Callithrix jacchus: one gene and its partner. The protein of the gene in region 1 interacts with the protein of each later gene in a pairwise test. Links are inferred from orthologs where the notes say so. Each region holds a gene or a part of one and is shown on either strand. Other genes may lie near its edges.

Region 1 (3,913 bases):
ACCTTTCTATTATCCATATTCTTTCCTAGCTTAAATACAAGTTTCTGTGTACCTAGGATAGAAAACTTGTGTACCTGAAAACTTGGGCCAAGAGGAGGAGGGGAAGCAAGGACTCTTCTATGGCGTCTTGACCTTCCCAAACTTTGGTATTCTCATGGATCATGTTAAAATGGGTCACGCATAAGGATTAATTAAAATAACTTGTGAATGGACTTTAAAGTGTTAAACAGATGTAAGCTATCCTTATCATCACATTCATTGTGACCGTAATCATGATCATTACCGTTTGTTGCCTCTTGGTCCAAGTTGTCTGTGTGATATATTTCATGCACTGTAGAGTTTTATATGGTTGAAATGGGGTGGTGCATTTAGAAAGCTGAGAGAGAAAGACTGCACATGTGAACATGTGTTCATCACATAGTCAAGAGTCACAACTCCAAACAGGGTGGCTGGAGTGAAAGGTTATTAGGGGATTCAGGGGGTGAGATGGACTGTTAGAGGGTATATAAAGACAGGCCATAGAGGATTTTGTGCTATGCCAGAGAAGTTTGGGCTTGATTCTCTATAGATGGTGAGGAGCTATTAGAGGGAGGTGGCAATATCAGATGCTGGTAGAGCATGTTTGGGTCAGTAAGGTGCTACTGGGGACTTAAAATACAGGGAGACCAGTTAGGTGATGAGGAGAGTCTTCGTTGAATTAATGAAGGAAAAATGGATGCCTTCCCCAGTCCTTCTCACACCCCACATCTTCCACACCATCCTTCCCCCTGGGCTCAGCACATTTCATATTTGGGTGTAACATATATTCCAGGACTTTGCCTAGGTATTTTCTCAGATGCAAATCTTTTACCTGGAGGCTGGTTCATTTTTCCTACTGGTTGCTACAGGATGATCCTCTTTCTGCCTTAGCATTCACTGATCTTATAGGAATGTCATTGTATTAATTCTGTACAAATTATGCTTTGCATGGATATTGAAGGCTTTTGTGCAATGTGCCCTCCTGGGTTAGTGGACAATTTAGATATGTTTGGTGGCTGTATTTCTCCTCAACTTGGGAAATAAAATGCTAGTGTCTTCTTTGGCACTGTTAGAATTTACAGCCCATTTTGGTCAGGTGGGAATATTGACTCCCATGGATGGATGGATGTCCTTTTTGTTCTCAGATTAATATTGAAGCTCTTCGGGAGAATCTTTATTTTCAGTCCAAAGAGAACCTTTCTATGACATTGGAAGTCATCTTGGAGCGTACAGAGGACTTTACTGATTCTGCCTACACCAGCCATGAACACAGGGAACGGATCTTGGAACTGTCAACTCAGGCGAGAATGGAACTGCAGCAGTTAGTTTCTGTGTGGATTCAAGCTGTAAGAACTTTTTTAAAAATCAAAGTAAATCTTATATAATGGCTTTCCCGTAAAGTTTTGCAAGATATGGAAGCTGACATAATCATCAGGAGTATGAATTTGGTCCAGAATGGGACAGGATGTCTCATCCCTTTTCTCCCTCCTAGTTGGCCAAAATATCCTTTTTATCTAGCACTCACAGTACTTGACATTATTTCTAGGCCCGCTGATTCTTATTTTAGCCAATCTGGATCTATGCCTCTGGCCACTATCACTAGTTCACTCTGTTGTCCCCACTCTTACACCAAACTCACCGCTGGAAAATTCCTCCCCAAAATGCTTCTTCAGAGTGAAGAACAGAGGAGTAGACCCCCACCTAGAGGTTCTTGGGACCCAAGTCTGACTGCTGGAGCCATTCAGATGTACACAGCTCTTACCTCTGAAGACAGCTGATTTACAGACACAATGCTTTAGAAAACTTATTGGGGTATAGATGCAATGAAAACAAGGGTAGATCCAGCTGGCAGGTAAAAGATTTTTCACCCTTGCACAAATTCCTGGTCTAAAATTGGTGGGCGGCTGCTCTATGAGCTTTAAATGGGCTGCTGGTGTGCTTCAGAGGAGGTTATTTGGGCAAGAATGGCCAAGACTGATAGAAGAGGGACAGCATAGGAAGTGTGTACACAATCTCTTATAGCAGGTGGGTTGCAAAATGGAGAGACAGAGCACTGGGACATGTCTCTAGCATTATTTATTTCTGAGGCCCAGGCTATGTCAAAAAAGTATTTAACATGGCATACAATATGCAGCAGCAATAGTACAAATCTGGAAGTCATGTCTTTAGCAGTAAAGATGATGAAGGAGGGTGGATATGGCTGAGACTGAAACAAGAAGCAGCAGTTGATGTCCTTGTAAATAGATTAATTTATGAGTGAAAATTGATGTGTATCACAGATTTGTCAGATATTTTCTTGGCATCGCAATAGTGCACATGTTCATATTAACAGGGAATCTTGCGCTAGAGTGGTGTCAGAGACTTGAGCAACATTTTGTGTTTAGCTTGAATTATCTGTGTGTTACACAATCTGAAGTGTAGACTGCTTCAGCGTTAAATTTTAAGTCCAACACTCACTATAAAGAGTTTTTTGTGATGAAATACTCTATGCTGGGAATGTGATTCTATCAATACTCAAATTTGCAATTAGCGAATGTCATAAATTTAGCAAATTTACCCTGTGCATATTTCACAAGCACTCAAATCTCTGATCCTGCATGCTAGATGAATTTTTCATTCATTCATTTTTTTCAGCAGTTGTTACTGGTGCCTTTTATATGCCAAGCACCAGAAATCTAAAGATGAATAAGATAAAATCTTTGTCTGCAAGAATTTTACGGTGTAGAAACCTGTGGGAAGGGGTGAGAGAAGCACAAACAACTTTGTAAATATCTTAAGAGAAGGTGTAGACTATGCGTTGAGAGTGTTTGAAGGACAAATTTATATTTAGGGAGAGGACTCAACAAGGCTTCATGAAGTACTGATATTTAATTTTTATTTACTCATGCAAATAATCGAATATCTACTACCTACCATTTCCTATGCCAGGTACTGTGGATTTAGTGGTGTGCAGCATAGATGTGAACTCAGCTTTCGTGGCCTAGTGGGAAAGATAGACTTTAAAGACACAAAAAATAAAAAATTCCCAGATGGTTTGGACTGAAAAAAATAAATAAATATGTAATTGCAAGCTGGGATGATTACTGAGAGAAAAGATTAGAGTAAGAAGAGGGTCTGATTTAGATTGAGTAATCTGAAAAAGCCTTTCTGAGAAAAAGACATTTATGTAAGAACTTAAAGACAAGTAGGATTTTAATTTTTAAGTAGGTTAGGAGTGAAAGCATGGACATTCTAGGCCAAAAATAAAAGGTTAATTTTAGACTTGATGAATGTATTAAGGAAAATTAAATAGAAAATTAGATTTTAAAAGTTCACCTTTCAATACAATCCATAGGTTCACAGAAAAAACAAAACAAAACAGTTCACCTATTTATAATTAGCATTGAAGAATGTAACTAAACTGAAACTTTATTTTCCACTGTAACTTTAAACAGGAAAATTTTAAAAATCTGCTTTTATAGTTCACAGAATAATATTAAAATTTATTACAATTTATAGTTCAAGTAAAATTGAAATTAACAGATTCAAGAGATGCGGTAACATTACATATATACTTTTTCAAATTTTTAGCAAAGCAAGAAAACAAAAAGCATTGCTGAAGAACTGGAACTCAGTATACTGAAAATCAGTCACAGTCTTAATGAACTTAAGAAAGAGGTAAGTATAGTTTGAAATTTAGCCTCTTCTAATTCTTTGCTAATTTTCATGTTGTATGGGTGTATGAAATGCATTTGTATTAGTATGTCTCTGTGCCTACAAAATGATTTTAAAACTTTAAAAGTTTCCTTTAAGGCCAGGCATGGTGGCTCATGCCTGTGATTCCAGCACTGTGGGGAGGCCAAGGCAGGAGGATCACTTGAGCCTAGGAGTTCAAGGTTAGCCTGGGCAACATGGC
Region 2 (4,656 bases), on another chromosome or scaffold:
GCCCACTCAAAGCTTCCGAACCTTACCTCAAGCATACCAAATATCCAATCATCCATGTCTGGTAGTGAAGAGAACAATAAAAGGTTGAGACTTACTGCATCCTTCAGCTTCAAACACATTCATGTCGTTTCAGTTGAAAGCAATCCCTAGCCCTTTCACCTCCCAGATCCTTTCCTCTCCCAGCGGAGCCTACCTTGCCCAGGATGCTCAGTTCATTGTCTGGTCCAGATTCTGATAGGGGCCTCTGACTCTGCAGGCTCCTGACAATATCTACAAGCCGTTCCCCCAGCTCTGTCAGCTCCTGACCAACTTCTGTGATGCTCTTCTGTACTTCCACCTTTAAAACAGCAAAGTTCAGTTCATGGGTTCTATAAAACTGGACCCAGGAACCACTATAGACAGAGGGAGTCATAAATGCTGTGGTAATGGCATGAAAACAGACATATAGACCAATGGAATAGAATAGAGTACCCAGAAATAAACTCTCATATATATGATTAAATGATTTTTGACAAAGGTGCCAAGACCATTCAATGGGGATAGGACAGTTTTTCAACACATTGTATTGTGAAAACTGGATATCTACACACAAAAGAATAAGGTTGGATCCTTACCTAACATTACACACAAAAACTAACTCAAAATGGATCAAAGACCTAAATGTAAGACCTAAAATAATACAGCTCTTAGAAGAAAACACAGGGCAAAATGTATGACACTTGATTTGGCAATGATACAAAAATCAGCCAGGTGTGGTGGCAGGTGCCTGTACTCCCAGCTACTCTAGAGGCTGAGGCAGGGAGAATTGCTTGAACCCAGGAGGCAGAAGTTGTAGTGAGCCAAGATCTGTGCCACTTCACTCCAGCCTGGAGTGAGACTCCATCTCAAAAAAAAAAAAAAATCACAATGAAATGTCACTTCATGCCTATACCAAGGTGTGAAAGCTATGCTAAAAAAGAAAAACAAAAACATCCAGAAAATAAGTAGTCAGCAGAATGTGGAAAAATTGGAACCCTTGTACATGGCTGGTGGGAATGCAAAAAGGTACAGGCCTTGTGGAAAACAAACCATTCCTCAATAAGTTAAACATAAAATTACCATATGATCCAGCAATCACACTCCTAGGTATATACCAAAAGAATGGAAAATAGGGACTCAGATACTTGCACAACAATGTTCCCTGCAGCATTATTCACAAGTAACCAAAAGGTGGAGACAATTCAAATGTCCAAGGATGGATGAATGGATTTTTTAAAATGTGGCCGGGCTCAGTGACTTAGGCCTGTAATCCCAACACTTTGCGAGACTGAGGCAGGCGGATCACGAGGTCAAGAGATCGAGATCACCCTGGCCAACATGGTGAAACCCCGTCTCTACTAAAAATACGAAAATTAGCTGGGTATGGTGGTGCGCACCTGTAGTCCCAGTTACTCGGGAGACTGAGGCAGGCGAATCCCTTGAACCCGGGAGGCAGAGGTTGCAGAGCCAAGATGGTGCCACTGGTGACAGGGCGAGACTTCATCTCAAAAAAACAAATAAATAATGTGGCACATCCACCCAGTGGAATATTATTCAGCCTCCATAAAAGGAATAAAGTCTGACACATGCTACAACATGAATGAACCTTGAAAACACCATGCTAAGTGAAAGAAACAAGGCACAGACATTGAATGATTCCAGTTATATGAATAACCAGAACAGGAAGACTCAGATACAGAAAGTAGCTTAGATGTGAGCGGGGGCTAGAGGGAGGGAAAATGAGGAGTTACTACTTAATGGGTACAGAGTTTCTGTTTATGGTCATCAAAGGGTTTTGCAAACAGCAGTGTTATTTGCACATTGGAAATGTAACTAATTTGTCACTGAATTATACACTTAAAAATGGTTAAAATGAGGCCGGTCCCGTGGCTCACATCTATAATCCTAGCACTTTGGGAGGCGGAGGCGGGAGGATTGCCTGAGTTCAGGAGTTCGAGACCAGCCTGGGTGACACGGTGAAACCCTGTCTCTACTAAAATAGAAAAGAAAGTAGCTGGGCACGGTGGTGTGCGCCTGTAATCCCAGCTCCTCGGGAGGCTGAGACAGAAGTATCGCTTGAACCCGGGAGGCGGGAGTTGCAGTGAGCAGATCGCGCCATTGCACTCCAGCATGGTGACAGAGAGACTCCATCTCCAAAAAAAAAAAAAAAAGGCAAAAATGGCAAGTTTTAATGTTACATGCATCTTACCACAATTTTACAATTTTGAGAGAAAGAGACCGCAAATAGATTGGGAAGAAGTTGAAATATGCCAAGGCGTATAGCTGCTAGGTTGACAGGCTTTCGGGAGATGGGGAATTTTTTTTTCCTGCTTCTTCATACTTTTCTGAACTTCAAAGTTCCTCCTAAGAGCGGGAGTCGACTGTTAGATTGAGAAAAGGAACGTAAAAGTAGAACGGCTGAGGAAGGGGGTTCGAGCCAGAGGGAAAGGGGGGCAGCCCGGGGGCGCGAGGGGACCTGCGAGCTCGGCCTCCCTACCCGCGGCAGTGACCCGCGGCGCCGGGGCCTGGGGGCCGGGCAGGAGCCGGGGCCGGGGCGGGGGGCCGAGTCGGGGCCCGCCTCCAGCTCGCGCGCGGCGCGGCGGTACTTGTCGGCCAGGTCCTGCAGCAGCGTGTTCTTCCGCAGCCGCGGCTGCTGCGCGGCGACCTCCCGGCAGGTGGGGCAGGCCCAGCGGCCACCCGCGGCCCGCGCGCCCCACAGGCTCTCCAGGCAGCGGCGGCAGAAGCTGTGGCCGCAGGGCAGCGTGGCCGGCCAGTCCAGTAGCCCCTGGCAGATGATGCAGCCCAGGTCGTCCTCTGCCAGCCACACGGGGACGGCAGGGCCCGGGCCCAGACCCAGGCCCGCCATGGCGACCAGGCTTGGCGCGGACGTCTGGGTCTAGCCGGCCCAATGTGGGCCGCATCTCCTCAGGCTCCTCCCTCGCCCTTCCTCTTCCCCCGGCCCTCCACCTCTTCTCGGTTGCCTCTTACCCTCCTCCCTTGGGGCCACCCAGTCTCCTTCCTCCGGTCCTGCTGAAAGCGGACTTTGATCCTCCACAACCCAGCGCGAATGGCAGAGCTGACCTTCGGTGGCGGCCCCCTGCCCTCGGAAACCCACTTGCCGCCAGCCGCTAGGAACCCGCAGATGTCTCCAAGATTCCCTTTCGCTGGATGTGCCCCCATTAAGATGCAGCGCCATTGGATGTCTTCTTCCGTAGGCTAAAAAAATATAAATACGAACGAGCCCGATCTCGTCTGATCTTGGAAGCTAAGCAGGGTCGGGCCTGGTTGGTACTTGGATGGGAGACCGCCTTAGAATACCGGGTGCTGTAGGCAAAACACACACACACACACAATCAACAAAAAGATGCAACACCGACAACTCTTGGGAGGAAAGGAGTCCATTCAGCAGCTCATTTGTAAGAATGAGTCCGCGAGGTGTCATCCTCTAATAAGTAGCTGCTCTAACAAGTAGCAGGGGATTAAAGATCATCGGTGCACAGTCACGGTGGCGGCGGCGGGGGTGGGGGTGGGGGTCTTCAAAAATGCTGATGTTCGGGTCCCGCTTGCAGGGAGTCTGATTTCATTGTCTCGGGCGGAGCACGGGTTTTTATAAAACCTCCCCTACATGATTCTGACGCGCATTCAAGGCTTTTTAACGCGCAGTTATAAAGCAGAGTTGCGCGCTGTGTCCTTACTGCCCTCTGCGGGATGTAAGCGCGTTTCCCGACAGACAAGCGGACAAAATACTAAAAAGTGTTTTCCTGAGATGGCTCGCCTGGCGTTTGTGGCGTTTGCGTTCTCCCACTCACTCACCTCCTACTCCAGTCCTAAGCGCATTGCAAGCAGAAAATGTTAGAACTAAAAGAGCACCAAGTCCTCCCAGATGACCCAAAGAGGTAATGGAACTTCTAAGCTCGCATGGTAACAGTGAGGCGTCAGAGACTAAAACCCACAACTCCCCAATATGTTGAAATGAACTAACAATGCCTCATGCTTTAATGCCTCATGCTTTACCCCTTCTCACCGGAGCTCAAAGTAGGTATCAGATAATACAAGTTTGTAGCAGACCTTTGGATCACTTGAGGTCAGGAGTTCAAGACCAGCCTGGCCAACATAGCAAACCCCCATCTCTACTAAAAATAAAACAAGATTAGGCTTGGTGGCTCACGCCTGTAATCCCAGCACTTTGGGAGGCCAAGGCGGGCAGATCACAAGGTCAGGAGTTCTAGACCAGCCTGGCCAATATGGTAAAACCCCTTCTCTACTATGGTGGCGCCTACCTGTAGTCCCAGCTACTCGGGAGGCTAAGGCAGGAGAATTACTTGAACCTGGGAGGTGGAGGTTGCAGTGAGCTGAGATTATGTCACTGCACTCCAGCCTGGGTAACAGAGCGAGACTTTTGTCTCAAAAAATAAATAAGCAAAAACAAAAAAAAACAAAGTCAGTCTTCTAGGTGCATGCCTGTAGTCCCGGCTACTCGTGAAGCTGAGGACAAAAAAAAATGTTTGTGGTTATTTCCAACACTGGAAGTGTCATGGAGTAGGCAGCACTGCTCATCAGCGTTTCCAGTACTTTCCCTTTCTGGGCACATGGTAGGACTGGCACTTCCCTGACCCACTTGAAACACACAGAGGTACT

The links.
Region 2: the proteins of CTNNAL1 (region 1) and RNF135 interact in binary tests that used the Homo sapiens proteins (3 or more experiments, as listed by UniProt). The two-hybrid records come from large-scale screens. The link is inferred for Callithrix jacchus from reciprocal best matches to the Homo sapiens genes CTNNAL1 and RNF135.

Annotation. Positions count from the first base shown.
Region 1 is NC_133502.1:157,345,362-157,349,274, reverse strand, and holds part of CTNNAL1 (alpha-catulin), read left to right. Parts: intron 1-1,163; coding exon 1,164-1,364; intron 1,365-3,588; coding exon 3,589-3,675; intron 3,676-3,913. UniProt on the Homo sapiens protein: May modulate the Rho pathway signaling by providing a scaffold for the Lbc Rho guanine nucleotide exchange factor (ARHGEF1).
Region 2 is NC_133506.1:101,969,660-101,974,315, forward strand, and holds the start of RNF135 (E3 ubiquitin-protein ligase RNF135), read right to left. Parts: upstream 2,911-4,656; 5' UTR 2,885-2,910; coding exon 2,516-2,884; intron 338-2,515; coding exon 194-337; intron 1-193.